Coturnix japonica: one gene and its partners. The protein of the gene in region 3 purifies or fractionates together with the protein of the main gene of each other region. This does not show direct contact. Links are inferred from orthologs where the notes say so. Each region holds a gene or a part of one and is shown on either strand. Other genes may lie near its edges. The genes, in order: KDM5A, ACTL6A, MORF4L1, EPC2, GATAD1 and ASH1L.

What was found.
Region 1: the proteins of MORF4L1 (region 3) and KDM5A purify together in Homo sapiens (affinity purification with mass spectrometry; 5 studies listed by BioGRID and IntAct, counting the BioPlex papers as one, with this or other methods). This does not show direct contact. The link is inferred for Coturnix japonica from reciprocal best matches to the Homo sapiens genes MORF4L1 and KDM5A.
Region 2: the proteins of MORF4L1 (region 3) and ACTL6A purify together in Homo sapiens (affinity purification with mass spectrometry; 6 studies listed by BioGRID and IntAct, with this or other methods). This does not show direct contact. The link is inferred for Coturnix japonica from reciprocal best matches to the Homo sapiens genes MORF4L1 and ACTL6A.
Region 4: the proteins of MORF4L1 (region 3) and EPC2 purify together in Homo sapiens (affinity purification with mass spectrometry; 5 studies listed by BioGRID and IntAct, counting the BioPlex papers as one, with this or other methods). This does not show direct contact. The link is inferred for Coturnix japonica from reciprocal best matches to the Homo sapiens genes MORF4L1 and EPC2.
Region 5: the proteins of MORF4L1 (region 3) and GATAD1 purify together in Homo sapiens (affinity purification with mass spectrometry; 7 studies listed by BioGRID and IntAct, counting the BioPlex papers as one, with this or other methods). This does not show direct contact. The link is inferred for Coturnix japonica from reciprocal best matches to the Homo sapiens genes MORF4L1 and GATAD1.
Region 6: the proteins of MORF4L1 (region 3) and ASH1L purify together in Homo sapiens (affinity purification with mass spectrometry; 4 studies listed by BioGRID and IntAct, counting the BioPlex papers as one, with this or other methods). This does not show direct contact. The link is inferred for Coturnix japonica from reciprocal best matches to the Homo sapiens genes MORF4L1 and ASH1L.

What each region holds. Positions count from the first base shown.
Region 1 is NC_029516.1:52,336,210-52,339,709, forward strand, and holds part of KDM5A (lysine-specific demethylase 5A), read left to right. Parts: intron 1-356; coding exon 357-491; intron 492-3,500. UniProt on the Homo sapiens protein: Histone demethylase that specifically demethylates 'Lys-4' of histone H3, thereby playing a central role in histone code. Does not demethylate histone H3 'Lys-9', H3 'Lys-27', H3 'Lys-36', H3 'Lys-79' or H4 'Lys-20'.
Region 2 is NC_029524.1:15,354,701-15,358,627, forward strand, and holds the start of ACTL6A (actin-like protein 6A), read right to left. Parts: upstream 2,801-3,927; 5' UTR 2,663-2,800; coding exon 2,638-2,662; intron 1,665-2,637; coding exon 1,588-1,664; intron 1,368-1,587; coding exon 1,193-1,367; intron 589-1,192; coding exon 488-588; intron 1-487.
Region 3 is NC_029525.1:17,834,149-17,837,648, reverse strand, and holds part of MORF4L1 (mortality factor 4-like protein 1), read left to right. Parts: intron 1-1,180; coding exon 1,181-1,206; intron 1,207-1,628; coding exon 1,629-1,717; intron 1,718-2,019; coding exon 2,020-2,121; intron 2,122-3,096; coding exon 3,097-3,185; intron 3,186-3,500. UniProt on the Homo sapiens protein: Component of the NuA4 histone acetyltransferase (HAT) complex which is involved in transcriptional activation of select genes principally by acetylation of nucleosomal histones H4 and H2A.
Region 4 is NC_029522.1:31,160,690-31,164,189, forward strand, and holds part of EPC2 (enhancer of polycomb homolog 2), read right to left. Parts: coding exon 3,428-3,500; intron 3,168-3,427; coding exon 3,035-3,167; intron 1,747-3,034; coding exon 1,555-1,746; intron 1,234-1,554; coding exon 1,144-1,233; intron 468-1,143; coding exon 322-467; intron 220-321; coding exon 1-219. UniProt on the Homo sapiens protein: May play a role in transcription or DNA repair.
Region 5 is NC_029517.1:20,625,708-20,629,854, forward strand, and holds the start of GATAD1 (GATA zinc finger domain-containing protein 1), read left to right. Parts: upstream 1-1,347; 5' UTR 1,348-1,453; coding exon 1,454-1,645; intron 1,646-1,719; coding exon 1,720-1,845; intron 1,846-2,060; coding exon 2,061-2,120; intron 2,121-3,031; coding exon 3,032-3,215; intron 3,216-3,882; coding exon 3,883-4,073; 3' UTR 4,074-4,147. UniProt on the Homo sapiens protein: Component of some chromatin complex recruited to chromatin sites methylated 'Lys-4' of histone H3 (H3K4me), with a preference for trimethylated form (H3K4me3).
Region 6 is NC_029540.1:1,741,180-1,744,679, reverse strand, and holds part of ASH1L (histone-lysine N-methyltransferase ASH1L), read left to right. Parts: coding exon 1-2,778; intron 2,779-3,500. UniProt on the Homo sapiens protein: Histone methyltransferase specifically trimethylating 'Lys-36' of histone H3 forming H3K36me3. Also monomethylates 'Lys-9' of histone H3 (H3K9me1) in vitro. The physiological significance of the H3K9me1 activity is unclear.

The DNA of each region.
Region 1 (3,500 bases), on a different chromosome or scaffold from region 3:
CAAGTTGGGGTATCATGTTCCAGTATTTCACCACCCTTGTAGTGAAGAAATTTTCCCTTGTATTTAATTTAAATCTAGCCTTTTTTTCTTATTTTGAAACCATTACCCCTTGTCTTCTCACTAAATTCCCTGATAAAATTTGCTTATCTTTCTTGTAGGTTCCCTTTAAGTAAGACTAAACAACTTCCATGCCCAGGATGCCTGGATTAATCAACCTCTTGTCCAAATGGCTATGTGCAGTGCTGTGTGACTTCAGTCATTGGCTTATTTCTTAGTTAAAGAGGCTGGTTTACAGACCATAGAATGATCAGCACTACCTGATTGATCGACTGGTGTTCTGTGCTCTGACCTTCTAGGGCATCCAGAAGCCTAACTTGAACCTTAAGGAAAAAGTGGAGGCTGAGGACCTCAGCTCAGATGCCCAGACTTCACCAAAGCAAGGTTCGAGAATGAATGTTGTGCTGAAGAGAACCAGACGTGTCAAGTCCCAGGTACCCTTATTTCTTGGTTATTGCAGAGAACCCTTATCCCTTCTACCAGCAAAGCAATACTGGGAGTGTGGCAGCCTTTGTTTGTGGAAGCCTGCTCAAAAGCACCATGAGAAAGAAATCTTTACTTAAATAAAATCTAGAGAAAGATGTCTTGCTGAGACTATGCTTGAGGTAGATGTGCAGTTTAGAAGTTTTTAACTTCTAAAACCTGTTTGTTGTTTGTTTATATTTAGCCGCTGTACTTTGGTAGAGATTGTGAAAACTAAATGGTTCAGTTCTACCAGCTCCCTGTTGGCCATTTGATGGAGCTTGAGTGAAAGGTGGATTTACCTTTAGAACAAATTCTTACTGTTTCATATCATTCTATATTTGCTTTAAACATCGTGAAGCTTTGTCAGATGTGGTTAAAATTCTGTTGTATTCTTTTTCCCCAATACATTTTGCTTGATAACTGGGTTTATAAAGGACACTTAATCTCATCTTTGTCTCTTATGTCATGACTGATTCCGACTAAATTGTCCCTTTTAATCTATTCTCTTTACTAACAGAAGCTGACTTGGCATTATTTATTGCAGCCACATAGCAGTGCATCAATCACACAAGCAGTCCTATGCTTTCCAATTTATTTATTAGTGAGGCGTCCAAAAAATACCCTAAGGATGCTGCAATTCCTGCGGCAGTCATTCATTGTGTGGAATTCTGCTTTGAACTAATCTCAAGGGATAGTGCCAGTGTGACCTCTTTCCTCCTGCATGGTGTAGAAGTGTCACTGTGTTATTAAGATCCTGTAGGACTTTTTTTTTTCTGGTACTTCTTTCTTTAGAGTAACTCTTTTATCTCATTGGAAGAGCCACTTCTATGGTACTTCTGACACAACATGGCTGCTTAATTTCATCTAAAGGTGCTGCATTTTTTAAAAGAGAGAGGTGATTTCACTTGAATGGTCTGTCAAAAGTCAATGCATATGTATGTAAATGCCTTCTAGAAGACCTATACACACATTATCTTTTAAGTAATTTAATTATTAAAATAGCCAAACTTAATTCTTCAATAAAGGAAGAACTCAGCCTACTCACGTAGCCAGAGGAGTATTTCTAGGCTGTGTTGGAAGCTATGTATAAATCTGGAACTGTGTTTAGAAATAGAAATTTGTCCTCATGATCCCCAGACTGCAGAAGTATAAGATCCGGAGAATGCTAAGAGATCGTCCTAGATTTCAATACCTTGTTATTATAGATAAGACTCTGCTTATTGTTTGAAGTACACATCTGGAATTGTACCAGAAAATTAGGTGTTCTGGAGAATGCAGGTAATAAGCAAATAATGTAAAAAGAAAAATAAACCCAACCTGCTAAATAAATGTCATTCTGCTCTAGCTGCTGTATCTCAGTGATTGTGTTGTTTGCTGAGTTGTCCGTTGCCTGGTTAGTGAGCACTGCTGATTACGCTGAACACTGCATCTCAGCAGATTGTTTTCCAGAGTTAAAAGTATTCTTCCAAAATGATCTGCATCTTATCTCTGCTTGCGACTTACCTAAGAATGGGAGATACATGAGAAATGATGGAGGTGGTAACTGGAGGTTACTGAAGTAAACCAGGATCCTCAGAAGAGGCTGACAGATTTTAGAAAAGCGAATGTTTTAATTTTTAAAGTTTAAAACAAGAAAAAATTGAAGGAAAATAGGGAATGAGAATTCTCCTGTGTGAAAGAAGGACTTTTTTTTTTCCAAGAAGGAGAATAGTTTGGTTATGAAAAATTCTCCTTAAAAAACAGCCATCAAGATTTATTTTCTATTCCTTTCTTCTGAAGAAAGCTATCAAATAAAAAACAATGGAGAAGGGTAACTGAAATACTTGTGGGCAAGAACAACAACAAACAGAATGAATTTAGATTACAAAAAGAGATAATCTTTAAAGTTCGGTTAAATTCTGTGTTAGAAAAAAAGTGAATGTCTTCACTTATTGTCTTTTAGGATGTATTTTAACTGACAAGGGAATTTATCTAATGAGGTTACATCCTAACAGTGAAAACAATTGTGGGCAATGTCTGCTTTCAATATTCTGTTACAGACATGGATGGTTTAGAACAGCAATTAACAAAATAGAATTCCATAAACAGCAATAGTTCTGTGAAATGATAGAAATCTGGGAGATGCTGATATGCCCAATGTGCACAAATATTCGAACACTTGATTGTAACTGTTCTCATCATATTATATCATAAAATCCTAGACTGGCTTAAGTTGGAAGGGACCTTAAAGCCTACCCAGCCCAACCCCCTGCTGTTGACAGGGCTGCCACTGAACAGCTTAGCTGCCCAGGGTTCCATCCAGCCTGGCCATGAGAGCCTGCAGGGATGTGAGCTGCTTATCAGTGATTTTCCCTTACACAAGGAAAGCCCTTGAGTTGTACTTTCTGTTGAAGAGATAAAAAAACAAAGGTATTCCTACGTCTTTCAGGAAGAAGAATAGAATTTCAGTTTAATCAGGTTTGGTTTTGCTTTCTTCTGTTATATAAGCAACAAAACAAAAGTAAGAATGTGGCGTTTTGTACTATTAGCTGTGGAAAGAATGGCAAGGAACGTTTTCAGTGTTTTTGAATTCAGTGTTTATGTGCTGTTTTGGTGCATACCCCAGAGAATCTCATTGAGGTTTCTGAGTGATTTTCTTTCACATCTAAAACAATCAGACAGCCTTGCAGTATTTGTAAGTTTTATACAGAAAGCTGATTTTTTTAAAAATGCATTTCTATTTCAGTATATAACCTGGTTGGTTTGTTTTTTTTGCCTGAGTGTGAATTTGTTATATCCATTTTGTTTCAGTTGAATCCAAATAAATATAAGCAGTGGAGTTACGAAAACATATTTAGGGAATGCATTTTTAATCAAAGCTCTAAAATCAAAGGGAGGTTGTTGCATGTTATTTAATTTAGTAAATATGGTAGTCAAACTATTTTTCAAGTGTTATTGAGAAAATTGTTTTAAATCACAATAGCAGGAGGGAAACTGTG
Region 2 (3,927 bases), on a different chromosome or scaffold from region 3:
TCTGTGTTCATGCACCTCATTTATGTTACAGGAGCATTTGCTGAAACGAAATTAAAACTCCACTACACGTGTTATTCCCTGTCACGTTAGATGGCAGGCTGATTGCATGCAAAGATGGATTAAGTGTAATATATGAAGACATTCAGACAACTTTTTGCTTTTATTCTGTGCTGTCAAGTGAGGTTATTTTTGATTTTATACTACTTTTTTTTTTTTTTTTTTAAATACATGAAATACAGTAACACATAGTAAGTGTGTTCTAATGAAACGCATAGAAATTCTTTCAAATTTGGGCTTTTTTTTGACATTTTTCCTATTGAGAATACTTTCCAGAACCTGCATGATATTTTTAAATGTTACTTCTGTAGTTCAGTTTTAACACTCATAACCTACAAGCCAGTGCTGGGTTTCTCCAAGACTAATGTCTATAGATTCAGCAAGAAGATACTGATAAGTCTCCTCACAATGCAAAGCTCCTTTTACTCACTGGTGCTTCAGACATAAGGACAGGATGCAAACTCGCTTCAGATTTAATATGCATCTTGTAAGTGTGATCCAAAATTGCCTGGAAACTATCCCAGTCTTCAACTGCAACGACATCGAAGCAAGCAGATTAGTTACTTCTAACTTTTGATCTACTTCATAAATCCACATAAAGTTTTCCTGATGTTTTTTTTTTTCCTAAGAGCTCTTCAGACAAAAGCCGTCCTCAGCAGCCCTATACCCCTCCTGCTTTGCCAAATTCTCATCTATATTTTTTTAAGCATCATGACAGCAAATAAGAATTGTTATTATAAATAATAATAAATAAATAAGTTACAATAAAAGTCCACTGACATTTTGTAAATTGAGCCATTCTTATGGCTGATAGCCTCTGTCCATACACGTTACAGGAACAATATTAGGAACTATTTCCAAAAACTTGTTTCTTAATTGTTTTATCAAAGGAGACAGCTAAATTAAAGCCATCAAATAAACAAGAATCTACAAGTCTCCCATTAAGACATAAAAATGCTCATTATCGTATTAAAATATCTTAAGTGAAAGCAGAACCGTTTCTTTACGAGCCTGCTTTCTAAGTCCAAAGGAAAAAACAGTTGACATGGATAGCATCTGTTTACATGAAAGCTATGACTTGTTGCAGCCTAACAATTGTATCTTAAAGACAGCTAAAAAAGACAGAGCACCATACTCATTCCATTTTTTAAAGGTGAAATGGCCTCCATATTTTCCCTTGGGACTCTCAGGGCATTGGTGTCTATGTAGTACGTTGGGCCCCCTTGTTTGCCTTTGTCACCATCTATCTCCATCAGAGTGCTGCCATTGTCTCTTTCTAGCACCACGCCTATAGCTGTTGGAAAATCAACCTGTAAAGCAAAAGGTAAAATATTGATGAAGGTTATTCATTTTGGATGTGGGTTGTTTTGTTGGTTTTTGGTTTTGTTTTTCATTGGTTTGTTTTTTAGGGGGCTAATAAAATTCAGAGTTTTCCTTAAATAATAATAAACAGTATATTCTGGAAGCTTATGACTAATAAACAAGTTCAAGCTCCAATTGTAATCCCACTGAGTTCATAAAGATTCTTACCTTTGGACAGTCTTCGCCTGCATAGCCTGCTCTCACTGTATACGAGCCAATGTCAAAAACAAGAGCCCCAACTTCATCTGCAAAGATTGTTAACAAAGAAGTAGTGAATGGTTATTGTGCTCTACTGCAATCCTGACCTGAACTTATCTCTTGTCTGCTTTGCTTGCCAGAAAACAAACAAACAAACAAAAAAAAGCCCAATATGATAAAGCATCTTTCCTGAGACACAGAGCAATTTCTCTATTCAGAATTCAAGCTAACTGAGAGCCACCAGGAGGTTACAGATAGGCTGTAACCAGGACACTGCAATACCTTTCATTGGCAAAAGAAAAAGGGCAATTTTAACAGACGAGAGCTGCATCTAAACACAGGCTTGCGAAGCGAGTCCACATGAACTTCATGACATTCAACAAGGCCACGTACAAGGTGTTGCACAGGACTTGAGACTCAGACAGCTGGACATGAGCCAGCAGTGTGTGCTTTCAGCCTAGAAAGCCAACAGCATCCTGAGCTGCATCAGGGGAGGGGTGGCCAGCAGAGCAAGGAAGGTGACCATCCCCTTGTGCCCTGCCCTCGCCAAGTCCCATCTGTTGTACCACATTCAGGCCTGTGGCCCCCAGCATAAGAATGAGATGTTGGAGTGAGTCCAGAGGAGGGTCAAGACAATCAAAGGGCTGAAGCTCCTCTGCTATGGAGAAAGGGAGCTGGCTTTGCTTAGCTTGGAGAAGGTGCCAGTGACAGTTTGTTGCAGCCTTACAGGGAGCTTATAAACAAGAGGGAAACTGACTTTCTACATGGTTTGATAGTGACAGGACGATGGGGAATGGTTCCACACTAAAGGAAGAGATTTAGGTCGCATGTTAGGGGGCAATTTTTCAGAGAGGGCAGTGAGACCCTGGCACTGCTGTGTGTGCCCCATCCCTGCAGGTGACCCAGACGGGTCGGACGGACCCTGGGCCCGCGGCGGCCTCCTCTCCTCACACACGGAGCGATGCGGCGGGAGGGAGCCGGGCCTGAGGGAGCTCAACAGTGTCGTTATATCAGACTCACCTCCGCCGTACACACCGCCGCTCATGGCTGCCCGCTGCTCAGCGCTGTGCTAACAATAGCACTCGGTCTCTCGCCCCGCCGCCCGGCTCAGCGCAGCTCGCAGGCCCGCGCCTTCCCGCCAATGGCAGCGCCGCCGCCGTCCGCCCACCCGCCCGCACTGCAGAGCGTTACCCAACAGAACGGCTGAGTGGGCACAGCGGCCAATCAGAGAAGGGAGGGAGGAGGGGCTTGCTTATGAGTAGCCAATCATGAGGCGGGAAGTGAGGAGCTTGGTAGAGGAGAGTGAGAGCAAGCAAGTGTAGGTGCAGTGCGCGGGAAGGGCGGTGTGAGGAGAGAGGGGCGGGAGGAGCTGAGGGAGGAGTTGGAGGAGGAGCTGAGGGAGGAGCTGAGGGAGGAGCTCTTGAGGTGGGTGTGCCACAGGATCACAGAATGACCCGGGTTGGAAGGGACCACAAGGATCATGTAGTTCCAACCCCCCTGCATGGCAGGGCCACCAAACATACACCTTTACTAGATCAGGTTGCCCAGGGCCCCGTCCAACCTGGCCTTGAACACCTCCAAGGACGGGGCATCCACAACCTCCCTGGGCAGCCTGTTCCAGGGCCTGACCACTCTCCTAGTGAAGAACTTCCCCCTAACATCCAACCTAAATCTTCCCTCTTTTAACTTCAAACCATTTCCCCATGTCCTGCTATTGTCAGCCTTTTCAAAGAGTTTTATAGGTGTTTGCATGAGGAAGATCAGCACAAATCTTTCTTTGCCACTAGTTGTACTGTGTAATGTTGGTGTGCTTTGATTTATTTTATGGTGCCCTTTAATGTGTTATAGTGATTTCTAGCACGTGGCACTAATACCCAAGGTAGAGTTGGTGGAGAAGGATGAATTAATTGCAGTTGGGGAAGGCTGTAAAGCAAAATGGGTGTTAAAACACTGGGGGACGTTTCTTCAGCTTGTGCCTGTACTTGGGCTTTGTTTTCATAGTGGTTCATAACATCCCTGTGGTAACTGATGCTTTGGGGCAGACCCTGCTCTCCCCAAGAGTGGCTTATGATAGCTTTGTGGGTGAGACAGGGGGCCCAGGGGGGTTGGAACTTCATGATCCTTGAGGTCCCTTCCAACCCAGGTCATTCTGTGAGACACCAAGACAGCCGTCTGCTGCTTCATTTATCTGTAACTTTTGCAGCACTTGAGATCTCCCAGTGGTGCCAGCAGAAGAGGCGTGTGGCTGTGCAGCATGGGGAGAGGGCGTTCCTGTGCACGACCAATCTTTCCTGCTCAGCAATTGCCTGG
Region 3 (3,500 bases):
GGTCATTCTTAGAGTATTTTATGTGGCCTGCCTACACCTCTTTGCTAAGACTCTGCTAGGCTGACGCTCTAAAACTGTTTTCTATCCTGACAGCAATTTTCTGAACTCCATTTTTGCTTGTTCACTGTAGGTTTGGAAGGAAAGACACACAAGTGTCACTTCACGTGGTGATGAGCTTCCAAAGAAATAATAATGTGCTGCTACAAAGCTTTATCTCATCATCTGGGATCTGGCACGCAGAATTTCTTTTACTTTCTGAGGGGTTTAATTGGACTCCTGTTAATAATAAACAAATGGGAACAAGGCTGGTAATGCTCTTAGTTCCAATTTTCTTAGTAAATGAATAAAATCAGTGAATATACCAAGTTCAAATAATGAAAACCTGCTAGGGCAATTTAATTTTTGTTTCTAATATCTCTGGACTTATCTGAATATTTGCATATAGCAGGCATTGCATGGCAGGTGTCTGTAAAATGTTTGCACGTAAGTTTCTCAGTATGACCCTCAGTTTGGAATACAAATGAGGACTGGGGGAAGTTTGAAGTATGTACAGCACATTTTGGGAGCAGCATCTGGAAGAAGATAAATATTAGGGACGCTGCTATTCAGTGTTGTTCCAGATGTTACGAGTGAGAGGCATTGTGATCTCAATTGTGATCTCCCCTGAACTTTGATGCCATGATAGGCAGTCCATGCAATTTGATGCACACAATGAATTCTGATGGTGCTGCTGAAGCGGTGAAATCATTCTTCCAGTACTCTGCAGGACAGTCAGTTGGCTGAGCTGTCTGATGTTCCCTTGTCCTTTGTTCTGTCTTTGAGAGATCTCTGAAATGCTGAAATAGCACCTCTACAAGCATTTGGGAAATACGAAGCATTGGTGAATGTTCCTGGGTAATGATGGCTAGGAGTGCTTTAAGATGCTTGTTTTTTGGAACTACTCATGGCCTGTCTTCTGTAGATTTGAGTTGAATTAATCCCCAAAAAGAGAACACCACCCTTTGTTCCACAGGAATCTTGAAGCATCAGTATTATGGTGGTAAATAATCTCCTTTTGTTGTTTTCTAAATTCTTTGTAGGCCCCTGAGTGTTTGTGGATCTGAACTTACTGTACTTCTGGCTTTCAATTCGTTCAGTACTTTCATTTTTATGTTTGCAATAATTTGTGTTCTTCTTGCAGGAAAACAAAAAAGAACAAGCAGAAAAGTAAGTACATCTTTATTGTGTGTGTAAGTGGATATACTTTGTTAGGGAAGGATTCTTAGCTGGAATAAGACCTTAAATCTGCCCCCACTGAGTTTAGTTCCTGTCAACTTATGGTGCTTCTCCTGGACTTCAGGTGTCTCTTCTGTATTATTTGCTAGTTAATAAAACAGGACTGTATAATTTGCTGCTTTGTACATGGACTCTTCCAGTCTGTCATGATTTAGACCCCTTGGAAATAGAATGGTATTCCCATTGATCTGCTGAAATAATTCTCACTATTAAGTCAAACCTCAGTTTTCATACTGGGATGGGACATGTCTGCATAGCTGAGTTGTTGGTTCCAAAAGTTCCTTTTTTTTTATTGCTATTTCTTATGGCCTTACCAGACTTCTTACACAGCACACTGTTTCTCTTCTGTACAGCTCCTGGAATTGGAGAAGGGAGCAGCAGCAGTGAGACTCCTCAGCCTCCTAGGAAGAAAAGGGCACGAGTAGATCCAACAGTGGAAAGTGTATGTGTGTATGATTCTCCTACAGGATTTTTGATGGGGAACAGAAGAGCTGCTTTGCTCAGAAACACAGACAGCAGTGCTTTATCCTGCAGTATGGCGGTGTGAATTGTTACAGCTTCTTGAAATGCTAGGCCTGCCAGGTGGCCTTAAAACCTGAGCTATTTCCCTGCTCCCCCAAGAGATGACTTAGCAGTTCTTTACTCCTGTAGTGTATTTCCTTTGTGGAAAGGATGGGATGAGTGCCTTATCTCAATTGGTTATCTGAAAGTAATTAGTGTGAATCCACTTTCTTTTTTCCCCAGGAAGAAACATTTATGAACAGAGTTGAAGTAAAGGTGAAAATCCCAGAAGAGTTGAAACCGTGGCTGGTAGATGACTGGGACTTGATCACCAGGCAAAAACAGGTAATTTTAGAATTCATATCTCACTTGAGTGCAGTGCAGCAAAATCCCTCATAGAGTTTGACAGAAGCCTTACTTGACAGTTCTGGTTGCAATTGGATTTTACCTGAAGGTCATCTGTGAGTTGGACTGTGCAGCAGAATTGTGTGCAAGTTTGTAGACTGTAATCAGTCTAATTGGGCATAAGCTCAATGTCAAGTAATTACAAGTTTTGTGATGTTCCTCTAAGCGTGTTTGGCCTATTGGAATGCCTTGAAAAGTTTGCTTAGGTGACAGAATTAGTCTGTATGAGCATTACAGGTGATGTTCTGTCCTGTCTTGTTTATGCATCACTCATTCAGAAAGCAACTGAAGCATCTACAGCTCTGACTAAATATGGTCTTAGAATAGTGATTTTTAGCTGTGCTGCCAAGCTGGATCTGTATAAAGACTCCTGATAGAGCAGTTTTGCCTAAAATAAACTGTCTTCCATTGTAAGAAATGTAATATTTTTTCAGGAGCTTGTTAGTAAGTGAAATGACTTTGCATTCTTCTTGCCAGTTGTACTAAGTGTTGCTGAAAACTGTTCATTATTATTGGTCCCAGCAGGTGCCCAGCAGGTTTGTTTGCTACCAGTCCTGGGTGCTGAACTGGATGCAGGAAGCAAAGCAAGAAAAATAGTAGTCCAGGCTGCTGCTGCTTGTACAGGCGTGGTCTGTGGCCTGGTGTAGGCAGGTGTGCTGACATCTGTCTGCTTTGCTGCTTACCTTTGATTCTTGGGTTGCTTTAATAGTTCATCTTCAGGTTGATTTTAAGTTGCAGAAATGCAAAATGAGAACATGAATGTGGCTGCTGTTAGGTGTCTTGATGTGTACCACTGAACCAGCTGGAGTTTTAGCAATGCTTTACACACTGACTTGTTAATTTTATTCCAGAATATCTGTATGTCTATCAGTTTAAGTTTGTCAGTTTGTATTTTCGGTTTTGTGTCTTCCACAGCTCTTCTATCTTCCTGCCAAGAAGAACGTTGACTCTATTTTAGAGGATTACGCAAACTACAAGAAATCTCGAGGAAATACTGATAACAAGTAAGTAGCAGTCAGTTCAGATCTCAGTTCAGATCTCAGTGTTGTCTCGTTGTTGTTGGATGTCTCGTTCATGAAGAAACTTGCAGAGTTGTTAATCATACCTCAGTGCTGTGCTCAGCCTGGTATTTGAGACCTAGGTGGTCCAGGCCTTCAAGGACACCATTCAAGAACACAGTCCTACATCCAGAACATTTGCTCTCTCCCTGCGTTCTGCCCCTTCCCTGGCACTTTTTCCTAAAGGAAGCTGTTGAAGCCACCTCGGTGGTTCTCTACCCATTGTCACCCAGTGAACAGGAGTCTACTGTTGCTTTGAAT
Region 4 (3,500 bases), on a different chromosome or scaffold from region 3:
AGCCTTGGCTGAAAACACTGCAGTCGACATGATCTGATATTGCTTAGTATTTCAGAAAGGGACAGTCTGTTTTCACAATGTTTATTGGAAGCATTGGTCCGTGAAAAATTAGAAGAAAAGTCTAAAGTCTGGGAAGAGCTTGAAAAACTATTCAGCATTTCCGGGTCAATCTGTCTCAAGACAGGATCATGTTCTGTGGATATTCGGTCCATTATAACCCTGATTTAAGAGATGGAAAAAGAAAGGATGTTATTTATGTCTCATATATATATATGCTTTTATACTTTGAAGGGAAACAGAGTGAAAACAATGCAATCGTACCTTCCACCCCTGCCAACTCGTCTTCTTGCAAATCCTATACACCTTCTTGGAATTGTAAGGGTTGTAAGGCAATGCCTGAACCTCAGTTTGTCCAATTCTGCCAATTCTGCATTTTCATAGGAAGAATTAGTTTGGTCCAAACGAGGCTGGAAAGAATAAAGGAGAGACAATTTTGCACATTTCTGAAAACACAAAGTAGTTTGTGGTATTCTCTGAGTGATCACAATAGCAAAACACCTGCATGGCAGGAACAGAAGCAGATGCCAGCACACATTTGAGTTGTGCAAACAACTTGCAACACAACTTGTAGGAGATGCCTGTGATCTAACCTGAGTACTCAGGGAGGTTGTCTGGGCTTCTGGAGCAGACAACCTGGCAACTCAGTTACTTCTCCAGTGAGTTATAATAGGCAGCCTTAAAGACCATACAGTCACAAATTTTATTTTGCTTTTACAACCAACTCCAATTAACGCGCCCACATCTGAGAACTAAGACAAGTAGCATCCCATGAGCTTTATAAGCTGGGAACAAAGGATGTGTTAGGAGAACCAAGGGGAACATATGGAAGGGGTGGGAGTCCTCCCATTCAAACAGTGGTTGAACTAGGCTGCTGGCAATGCTTTGTGTTACCTTTAGGAAGTCAGAGGAACAGCACAAGGAAAAACATTCTTGTGAAAAACTCAGATTTTCTTTGGAGTCACCATCACCAAGATTTTCATAACGAAAAGGGACTAAAAGAACTATTCCGCTGACAATATGACAATGAAACAAAAACAAAACAAGAACACCCAACACACTAAATGCGACAGCAGTTAGCCTTACAGCATAATACTGGCATCCTGCTCTTCTCCTGAAAGCACAGGGTCCATCAGGATCATTTTCCTCTTCTGCTTCTGATACCGGTGAGGGTACCTAAGCCAGAAAGCAAAGTTATTCTTCCAACTGCCATATGTATATAATACAGATATTAAAATATACAATATATAGCATCCAATTGACTAATATGGTAAAAGCGTATTTTTATACAAGTTTGCATTTGACATATTTTATAAATATTGGTTTATATAATATATAAAGTTCTCCAAAACACAATTTGGAAGATGAAATAAACTCAAAGAGCTTCTGCAAACTGTCCAACACAGTTATTCTCCACTTCAAGCTATCCTGTCCATATTCCAGATAGCTGAGTTCTCCACTTTCTGTAGGCTAAAAGAAATTGTAATGGACTGTTACCTGCGGGAACTCATCTTCATCTGAGCTGTGGAAGTCATACTGCTTGATATCACTCTTGTTGATAACAGGCAAGGGCTCAGCAGAGGGCTGTTGAGCAGTTACCACACACTCCATTTTCGGTTTCTTCAGATACTTCTTCTTCTGACGTACAACATCTGATATCTCCTCCTTTAGAGATGAATGATGAGGATGCTGTTTGTGAAAAACAGGAAGAGTTCCAACAAATAAAAGCATGTAATTAATATTGTTTCTTCACCTCATGGCTTAGAAAAACATGACTGCTCATCTTCCAGGGCCTCTCAACATGCTGCACTAGTGGACAATATCAGATACACTGCAAAATTTATTCAAAGCATCTGGAGACCTCAAAACCTTACTTCCAATTGTCTTTACAGAAGTTTATTAGTAAACTGAAAGCTTTCATGCTATGTGACTACATTAAGAGGTTCCTTTCTTTTCATCACTCTCAGGATACTGTAATTGGAAAGCCTATTTCAATTGCTTTCTGAGGTCTCAGTTTTCTATGCCAAGAATTTACTGTTTTCTTAATTGCTCAAATCTGTTCACAAGAAACATTCTATGTTCTCCAGTTCTCACATGGCTTGTGTTTCTTGTAAGATCTCATGCTACTAGTTTTTGCAATGTTTTTATTTAATTTTTAAGATTTTGTTAACATTAATCCTCTCCAGCAATCAAGTAAGCAACTGCAGCAATATTAAACTGTTATTTGAACACAAACGTTTTACAGCTTCAAAGCTCTCCAATTAATGATTACTTTCTCTTCCAAATTTTTCAATTAATGAGTAAAAGCCAGAGAAGCTTTTTGAAAAACTCTTTAATTCTTCCCCCAAATTACCACTTGTCAGTAGCTGCCTGACTGAAACTAACTCCAGTTCAGCTTCATAAACCAGAGATGAGAAACAGCAGGCACAATTCCCAGCAGAGAAAGGGAAGGGATCTGTACTACATCCAGTGACCACTGGGTGTCGCAGGTGCTAAATACAAACTTCAAAAGGGCTTCAACTCCCGAGCTTTACAGATGAGTGTTTTATAGCACTCCAACAATTCCAAACAGCTCCTAGAATCCTCCAGTATTCTTGCTGTAAATCAGCAGACTGTCTTTGCACTGAGGGCTAACCAGTACTCATGGACAATAGTACAGGAAAAAGGCAGTGCTCTAAGTGCCTGTCAATGGGAAAACAATTCACTGCTTGGCCATCTCAGTGTTGTTCTTTTGCACGCTTACAGCATTCATGTTCACATCACCATACAGTGAAAGGGACAGAACTGTGAGAAGAAAAAAATGAAGGCTACCACAGAGGTGTTTGTTTGGTGGGTGATGGCCAATTCTTTTAAAATTTAGGTGAGAAAAAAAATTAGATGTTAAACACAGCAAGCATATCAATCTGCTAGACAATTTTCTAACGCAAACACCTGCAGGGTACAGGCAACAGGAGACTTGAAGCAGAAGGAAGATTACCTTAATTTTACATTCTTGAACTTTGTGATGATTTCCATTATGAAGAGTGGATGCAGTTGTGCTCATCTCTTTTTCAGGTCTGTTAAGCTTCACTTCATTGAGAATTTCACCTCCATAATCACCCAAATGGTATCTTAAAAAAAAAAAAAAAAGTTAATTAAAATAGTCTATTTCCACTGGGAAACATCAGAGGAACAAGGAACAGGCAAAGAGGCTGCATAAAAACCTTTCTGTTTCAGCTTCTGAAGTCTACATAAGTAATACATGCCTCCAGCCATGCATGTGTGCAAAAGAAGAGCATCCATGTAGGAATAAATCACAGGAGCTGTTATCAAACCTATTTAATGAGAAGTAAAACCTTAGAGTTATAAGTGACATAATTTGTGAGCTTACCTTTTCTCTACAACTTCCAACGTTAAATGCAGTAACTCGCGTTTTGTCTTCTCTCTCCTCTTAATCATCTCCA
Region 5 (4,147 bases), on a different chromosome or scaffold from region 3:
GGATCCTCAAGAGCTGTTTGGGTGAAGCAGAAACAGCAATATGTGAAGATAACAGATAATCAGGAAACCTGTACTGCCTCTGCCACTGCAATGTGCCTTGGGCCAGAACCCAGCGACTTCCAAAATGGGGCTGGTTCTTGGCTTTACCATGCTTTTGAATGAGGAATTAAGACCTACATGTTGCCAAGATATGTGTGCTATACACGTAAAAACTCTCCAATACATTTCAAGAATAGTGTCCCTTATAGCTGAGGTAATTAAAAGGAAAAAAAAAAAAGCCCTAATAAGAGAGCTAAGGAGCACATGAACCTTAGCACAGGACCATGTGGAAACCCAGACTGCACCAGTCGGGCAGTTGTGCCCAATTACACGCATTCACAGCACAGATATCTCCAGACCAGCCCTCCAGGTGCATCCTCTGCAGACAGACACAACACTAATAATGACTCTTCAGACAGGAGCCAGCAGATACAGGAAGCCGAGAGGAAGCAGCGCAATTAAATTATTGCAGAATAATTAAACTATGTAAGCAGGGGATGCATGGAGCATATGTGGATACGCAGCACTTCTAATAGTAAGGGTGTATTAAAAAAAGCGTGTCCAGCAGGTCGAAGGAGGTGATCCTCCCCCTCTACTCTGCCCTGGTGAGGCCTCATCTGGAATATTGTGTCCAGTTCTGGGCTCCCCAGTACAAAAAAGACAGGGATCTCTTGGAAAGAGTCCAGCGGAGGGCCACTAAGATGGTGAAGGGCCTGGAGCATCTCCCCTATGAGGAGAGACTTAGGGAACTGGGTCTGTTTAGCCTTGAGAAAAGAAGGCTGAGAGGGGACTTGATCCAGGTTTATAAATACCTGAGGTGTGGGAGCCATAGTGGTGAGGCTGGTCTCTTTTCAGTAGTGTGTGGGGACAGGACTAGGGGTAATGGGATGGAAGTACAGCATAGGAAGTTCCGCACGAATGTGTGGAAGAACTTCTTTACAGTGAGGGTGACGGAGCACTGGAACAGGCTGCCCAGGGAGGTGGTGGAGTCTCCTTCTCTGGAGATATTCAAGACCCGCCTGGACGCCTACCTGTGTGACATGGTGTAGGGAGCCTGCTTTGGCAGGGGGGTTGGACTGATGATCTCTAGAGGTCCCTTCCAACCCCTACAATCCTGTGATTCTGTGATTAACCATCACCATCTGAAAGCTCACAGGAATAAACGATCCTGCTCCGTTGTTCAGGGAGCGCTCAGCCCACACTATGTGGAGTCCACGAGCAGAGCGGCGATGCCGATTCCCCCCGCATGGCGGTGCAGGCAGCACAGGCCGGGCCGTGCCGCGCTCCTCCCTTCGCGCCGCCACGCAGCGACATCCGCCGCCGGGGAGGGGCCGAGAGCGAGGCGGGCCCGGCGGAGCCGCCGCGTTTCCCCGTGTCCCTGCCGGGGGCCGCGGGCCCCGCCGCCGTTCTCAGTATGCCGCTGGGGCTGAAGCCCACGTGCAGCGTGTGCCGCAGCACGTCCTCGTCCATGTGGAAGAAGGGCGGGCAGGGCGAGATCCTGTGCAACAACTGCACGGCCCGCTCCGCACCAACCGGGCCCGCCGCCTTCGCCACCACCTCGGCCGCAGCGCAGCACAGCAACGGCGGGGGAGGCGGAGGGAAGCAGGTGAGGCGGGGCGGCTCCATTGCGGCGGCTCCATTCCATTCCCGCTGTGTTTAACCCTCCGTCCCCTCCCCCAGAGCAAGCAGGAGATCCACCGGCGGTCCGCCCGGCTGAGGAACACCAAGTACAAGTCCGCGCCTGCCGCCGAGAAGAAGGTGTCCACGAAGGGCAAAGGCCGGAGGCACATCTTCAAGCTGAAGAACGTAAGGCGCTGCCGGGGCGGGCGGGATGCGGCCCGGAGCTCTGTGGCCCCAGTGCTCCTGTGTAAAGCACGGACGGCTGCGGCTCGTTTCCCGTGTATCCAAACACTGCGAGTCTCCGTCAGTATGTCATCGGCTTTAAAGGGCGAGAAAACCCACCCTGCAGTTAGTTCTCTTGCTTTGCTTTAATGCTCTTCCATCTGTGTTGTTTTCCCCAGCCCATCAAGGCCCCTGAATCCGTATCCACCATCATTACCGCAGAGTCGATCTTCTATAAGGTACAGCCCCCGTACACCAGAAGGATCTTACTCACCCTTGTCTCCCTGTGTTCATCAGAGAGGTATCAGCTGGCCGGGCTCCCACCTGGGCTGTGTGTGAGTGGTCCCAGTGCCCTGGTAGTGAAGTGCACCAGCTGCTCCAGTTTAAGCTGTGTTTGGATGGTGCACTCGGAAACAGGGCTTGAGTTTTGAATGGCCCTGCCTGGAGCCAGGAGCTGAACTGCTTGATCCCCTTGGGTCCCCTTCCAGTAGTCCAGTCTTGACAGTGCAGACACTGCAATGTGTTGACACGATGTTACGACACCAAGTGATGCTGGCCTTGCTGTGCAGCATTGCGCACTGACTGACGCCTGACCTAATCAGGAGGTGACTGTGTTTTGAGGCTGCTTTGCACACAGATAGATGAACTTCATGTGCAGAAAGCTGCTTTCCCTGCATGCACAGGGCGATTGCTGCTATTGCTTTTTATGGAAGGTGGCATCACACTACTGACATAAAACCATCGATGCTGTGCAGGTGGGAGGTGCAGTGGTGGTGGGAAGGGGGGATGCAGAGCAATTGAGAGCTGCAGAGCAATTGAGAGCTGGTTCTTTGAAGGTGGGTGATGCCAGGCTGCTTCTGTGGCCTTTGGCAGGCAGAGATGGTGAGGAATTACCTGTCGAGCTTCAAAAACAGTTCAGGGACTGAACTCAAAGTTCCAGACATTGGGTGGTTGTGGGCAGGTCGTGCTGGTGACTGCTCAGGTGTGACAGTGCTCTGGTTTGTGCCACCTTTCACTGTATGTGGGAAAACTATGGCTGTATTGAGATTGGGGTAATTTGAGATAGTGTAAGGTCATGATATTCAACATGTGAAACAGAGCGAAGCTTCTGAAATCAGATTGATTTGACTTTCGTTTGTGTGCCTTCTAGGGTGTGTACTACCAAATAGGAGACGTTGTTTCAGTAGTTGATGAGCAGGATGGCAAAACGTACTACGCCCAGATCCGGGGGTTTATCCAGGACCAATACTGTGAGAAGAGTGCTGCGCTAACATGGCTTATTCCTACACAAGCCAGCCCCAAGGACTGCTTTGACCCCGCATCCTATATCATAGGTATTCTCTAAGCCTTCATTGCATACGACTGCTTACATGTTCCCAGACTAATGCAGAGTTGTAACTTTAAGTGTACTTCATTAGTTTGTCATGGTCCTTTATGTCATTCCTACATTTTAGACCCTAATCCATTTACTTTACTTGAATACTTTTTCAGGTTCATGTATGTGAGCAGCACTGCTGCAGTGAGTGCCCTTGTTTACTTGTGCTCAAGCGCACAATTACAGTGTCAAAACTCTAAGGATCCAACTACTATTCCTCAGGTAGAATTCAGGTTATTATGACATAAACTAGATGTGCCAGTCCAAGCTGTTTCTTCTGGAGTGACCAGAATTAGTTGATTTTAATCTTGGATATATAAAGTACATTGTGTACAAGCACCGGCATAGAGAGTGTTCTGCAGCTGGTTATGTATTAATAAGTTGAGTAAATCTTTCTGACAGGCAAGCACAAACAGTGTAGTATAGTATAGTACAGTATAGTACAGTATAGTATAGTAAGAATGTGTTCTTCAAATAGAAAAAAAATCAACCCAGTAGAAATAAAGAGGTTTCTCACTGGTGCTGTAGCCTCAAATACTGTGCAAAGTAGTTTTGTATCATCTTGGACTCTTCAATTTTATGCCTTCAGAATTTGTATTTGAAAATCCTTATGTTTTTTCCCATAGGACCAGAAGAAGATCTCCCACGGAAAATGGAGTATTTGGAATTTGTTTGTCACGCACCTTCGGAGTATTTCAAGTCTCGATCGTCTCCCTTCCCTACCGTCCCCACAAGACCAGAGAAGGGGTATATATGGACTCATGTAGGACCTACCCCTGCAATCTCCATTAAAGAAACTGTTACCAATAATTTATGATTTTTTAAAGGAACACTTCGGACCAGTTGTTTTCAATATATTCTCAGGTTTGCAAATCCCATAGGAGAAGTTTG
Region 6 (3,500 bases), on a different chromosome or scaffold from region 3:
TAGAAAGGTCAGAGCTTTTTAAAAACATTTCATACAGTGCACTATCCAACAGTAATTTGGAGCAGGCCAAATTCTTAAAAAACATAGGGTCGTCTTCATTCGTGGAGCACGAATTTGTTAAGCATCAGCTGCCAAAACTGAACGAGGGTAGTGGACAGTCTCTTGCACTGCTAACCGAGTCTGACAAGCAGACTCCAAAGTTCTACAGTGCACACAAACAACCTTCAAGTTTGTGTATGTCGGATGATTTCTTACCTGACATGTATAAACCTAAAAGAGGAAGACCTAAATCCAAGGAGATGCCCGAGCTTGAAGGTCCCCCCAAAAGAACTCTAAAGATCCCAGCGTCAAAAGTCTTTTCGGTGCAGTCAAAAGAAGAGCAAGAACCTCCCATTTTGCAGCCAGAGGTGGAAATTCCTTCCCTAAAGCAGAGTTTATCGGGACAAGCTTTTCCTAAAAAGAGGGGGAGGCCTAAAAGGCAGATGAGGTCATCGATCAAAATGAAGCCACCAATTCTTTCTGTAGCACCTTTTGTTGGAACAGAAAGCTCAAACAAGATAGAATCTGAAAGTGATCAGCATCGGAGCGGGGAGTTTTTTGAGAGAAAGGACCAGCTCCGAGGACCAGAAGATGTCCAAAAACCTAATATTTGTAGCATGAGTGATTTGGAAGGAGACTCAGACAGAAAAGTTGCCAAGAGAAACAACGGGCAGTTAATGAAAACTATTATTCGGAAAATAAATAAAATGAAAACTTTGAAGAGAAAGAAACTTTTGAATCAGATTCTCTCGAGTACGGTGGAACCAAATAAAGGGAAAGTGCAATCTAAGCTCCACAACACGGTGTCGACACTCGCCGCCACTTTCGGTTCAAAATTAGGCCAGCAAATTAACGTCAGCAAGAAAGGAACGATTTACATAGGAAAAAGGAGGGGAAGGAAACCCAAAGCTGTCCTGAACGGTATTTTAACTAGTAATTCTGCCAGTCTGACAGTTCTTGAGAAATCTTCCCAGCAAACTCCCGGCACATCATTTGGCCAAGTACTTCCCCACTTGCTGCCTTCAGCAGCTAATAGTTCCGAGATTCTCCCATCCCCTGTTTGCTCCCAGTCCTCTGCAGTCAGTGGGGGGCAGAGCCCCGTCAGCAGCGACGCGGGATTCATCGAGCCCAGCTCGGTGCCGTACTTGCACATCCACTCCAGGCAAGGAAGCGTTGTTCAGACACTCGCAATGAAGAAAGCTGCTAAGGGAAGGAGGAGATTATCTCCACCCACGTTGTTGCCAAACTCTCCTTCTCACTTGAGTGAGCTGACATCGCTGAAAGAAGCCACTCCTTCCCCCGTGAGCGAATCTCACAGCGATGAGACCATACCCAGCGACAGCGGGATAGGAACAGATAACAACAGCACTTCAGATCGAGCCGAGAAGTTTTGTGGGCAGAAAAAGAAGAGGCATTCGTTTGATCACGTTTCCCTTATCGCACCCGAAGCTTCCACGGTTTTAAGTAATCTCAAAGAAAAGCATAAACACAAATGCAAGCGCCGGAGTCACGATTACCTCAGTTATGACAAAATGAAGAGGCAGAAGCGGAAAAGGAAAAAGAAGTATCCTCAGCTTCGAGGTAGGCAGGACCCGGATTTCCTGGCTGAATTGGAAGAGTTAATCAGTCGATTAAGCGAGATTAGAATAACCCACAGAAGTCACCATTTTATCCCCCGAGATCTCCTGCCTACCATTTTCCGGATAAATTTCAATAGTTTCTATACTCACCCTACTTTTCCTTTAGATCCGTTGCACTACATTAGGAAACCTGATTTAAAGAAGAAGAGAGGCAGGCCTCCGAAAATGAGGGAGGCTATGGCAGAAATGCCTTTCATGCATAGCCTCAGCTTTCCTCTCTCCAGCACCGGGTTCTATCCCTCCTATGGCATGCCTTACTCTCCTTCCCCCCTCGCAGCTGCTCCCATAGGCTTAGGTTATTACGGAAGGTACCCTCCGACTCTTTATCCCCCACCACCTTCTCCTTCTTTCACCACCCCGCTGCCACCACCCTCCTACATGCATACAGGCCATTTGCTTCTCAATCCCACCAAATACCACAAGAAAAAGCATAAACTTTTACGGCAGGAGGCTTTCCTCACGACGAGTAGGACTCCGCTCTTGTCCATGAGCACGTACCCCAGCGTTCCACCCGAGATGGCTTATGGCTGGATGCTGGAACACAAGCACAGGCATCGCCACAAACACAGAGAGCATCGTACATCCGAGCAGCAGCAGGTTTCCATGGACACCATCACGGCTAATAGCTCTTCAAGAACAGTCCTGGAGTCCTTGAAGCGCTACAGATTTGGGAAAGAGGCTGTCGGTGAGAGGTACAAACATAAGGAGAAACACAGATGTCACATGTCTTGTCCCCACCTGTCGCCTTCAAAGGGATTGCTAAGCAGAGATGAACAGTGGGTCCGGAGGGAGCCTTCGGAGTCTAATTCCTTAGCACTGGGGTTGCAGACGCCGTTACAGATAGACTGCTCAGACAGCTCCCCAGGTCTGTCCCTGGGGGGATTTACTCCCAGCTCCGAGCCGGCCAGCAGCGATGAACACACAAATCTTTTCACAAGTGCAATAGGCAGCTGCAGAGTCACAAACTCTACCAGCACCAATGGACGTAAAAAACTAACTGACAGCCCCGGACTCTTCAGTGCACAGGACAGCTCGCTAAATCGACCGCTCCGAAAGGAACCATTGCCTTCTATTGAAAAGGCACTGCAGCCACTGTCAGGTAAGGGAGCTCTCATTGTATCACCACATGAGTCTTATGGTAAGCTCTAAAGCAGCTTGCATTGGGAAGGCAGGCAGCGATAGATTTGGCTTTGTGGAAGTTTTTTCTGTGTTGGATTTTAGGACTACCATTGTTTTGATGGAGGATTTCTGTTGTGTCAGTGCACTGTTCTGCTCAGCTTCTGGCACAGATTAATGGGAAGTCTCCTATGTACAGGGCTGCCTAAGTACCTTTTCCCACCAGATTTGCATTGCTTAGTTGTAGAAGCATACAAAGTTTTCTAGGGATGTTTTCTCATTCAAAAGTCTTTTCTTTTTCCTTACGATTTCTGATCATTTTAGAAACCATCTTTCTGCTTGTTTTGAAGTTTGATGGATTGATTTTAGGCTAGCTATGGGTACTAGTACTGTGAGCAACTTTTCCATTAAAGAAGATGTTCCGTATTTCTTTCATGACTCGATTTTAGGTGTTCTGATAATTTTTCCTGTAGTTTGGCTTTGATCCTTGAGGCCTTTTGCAGTACCTCCAAACAGCTGCAAAATGATCCTGGGAATGCCCAAGACCAAACATTGTAATGACTGTTTTATTCGTAGCTAGGAAGCTCATCTTACATATATCCCTAGATGCAACTGAGACTGAGCACAGGAAATGGCAGTGGCACCAGCAGAGGATTTGCTGTTCAAGGACCTCCATTCTGCTGTGCTAAGAAATGCTGAGCGTTT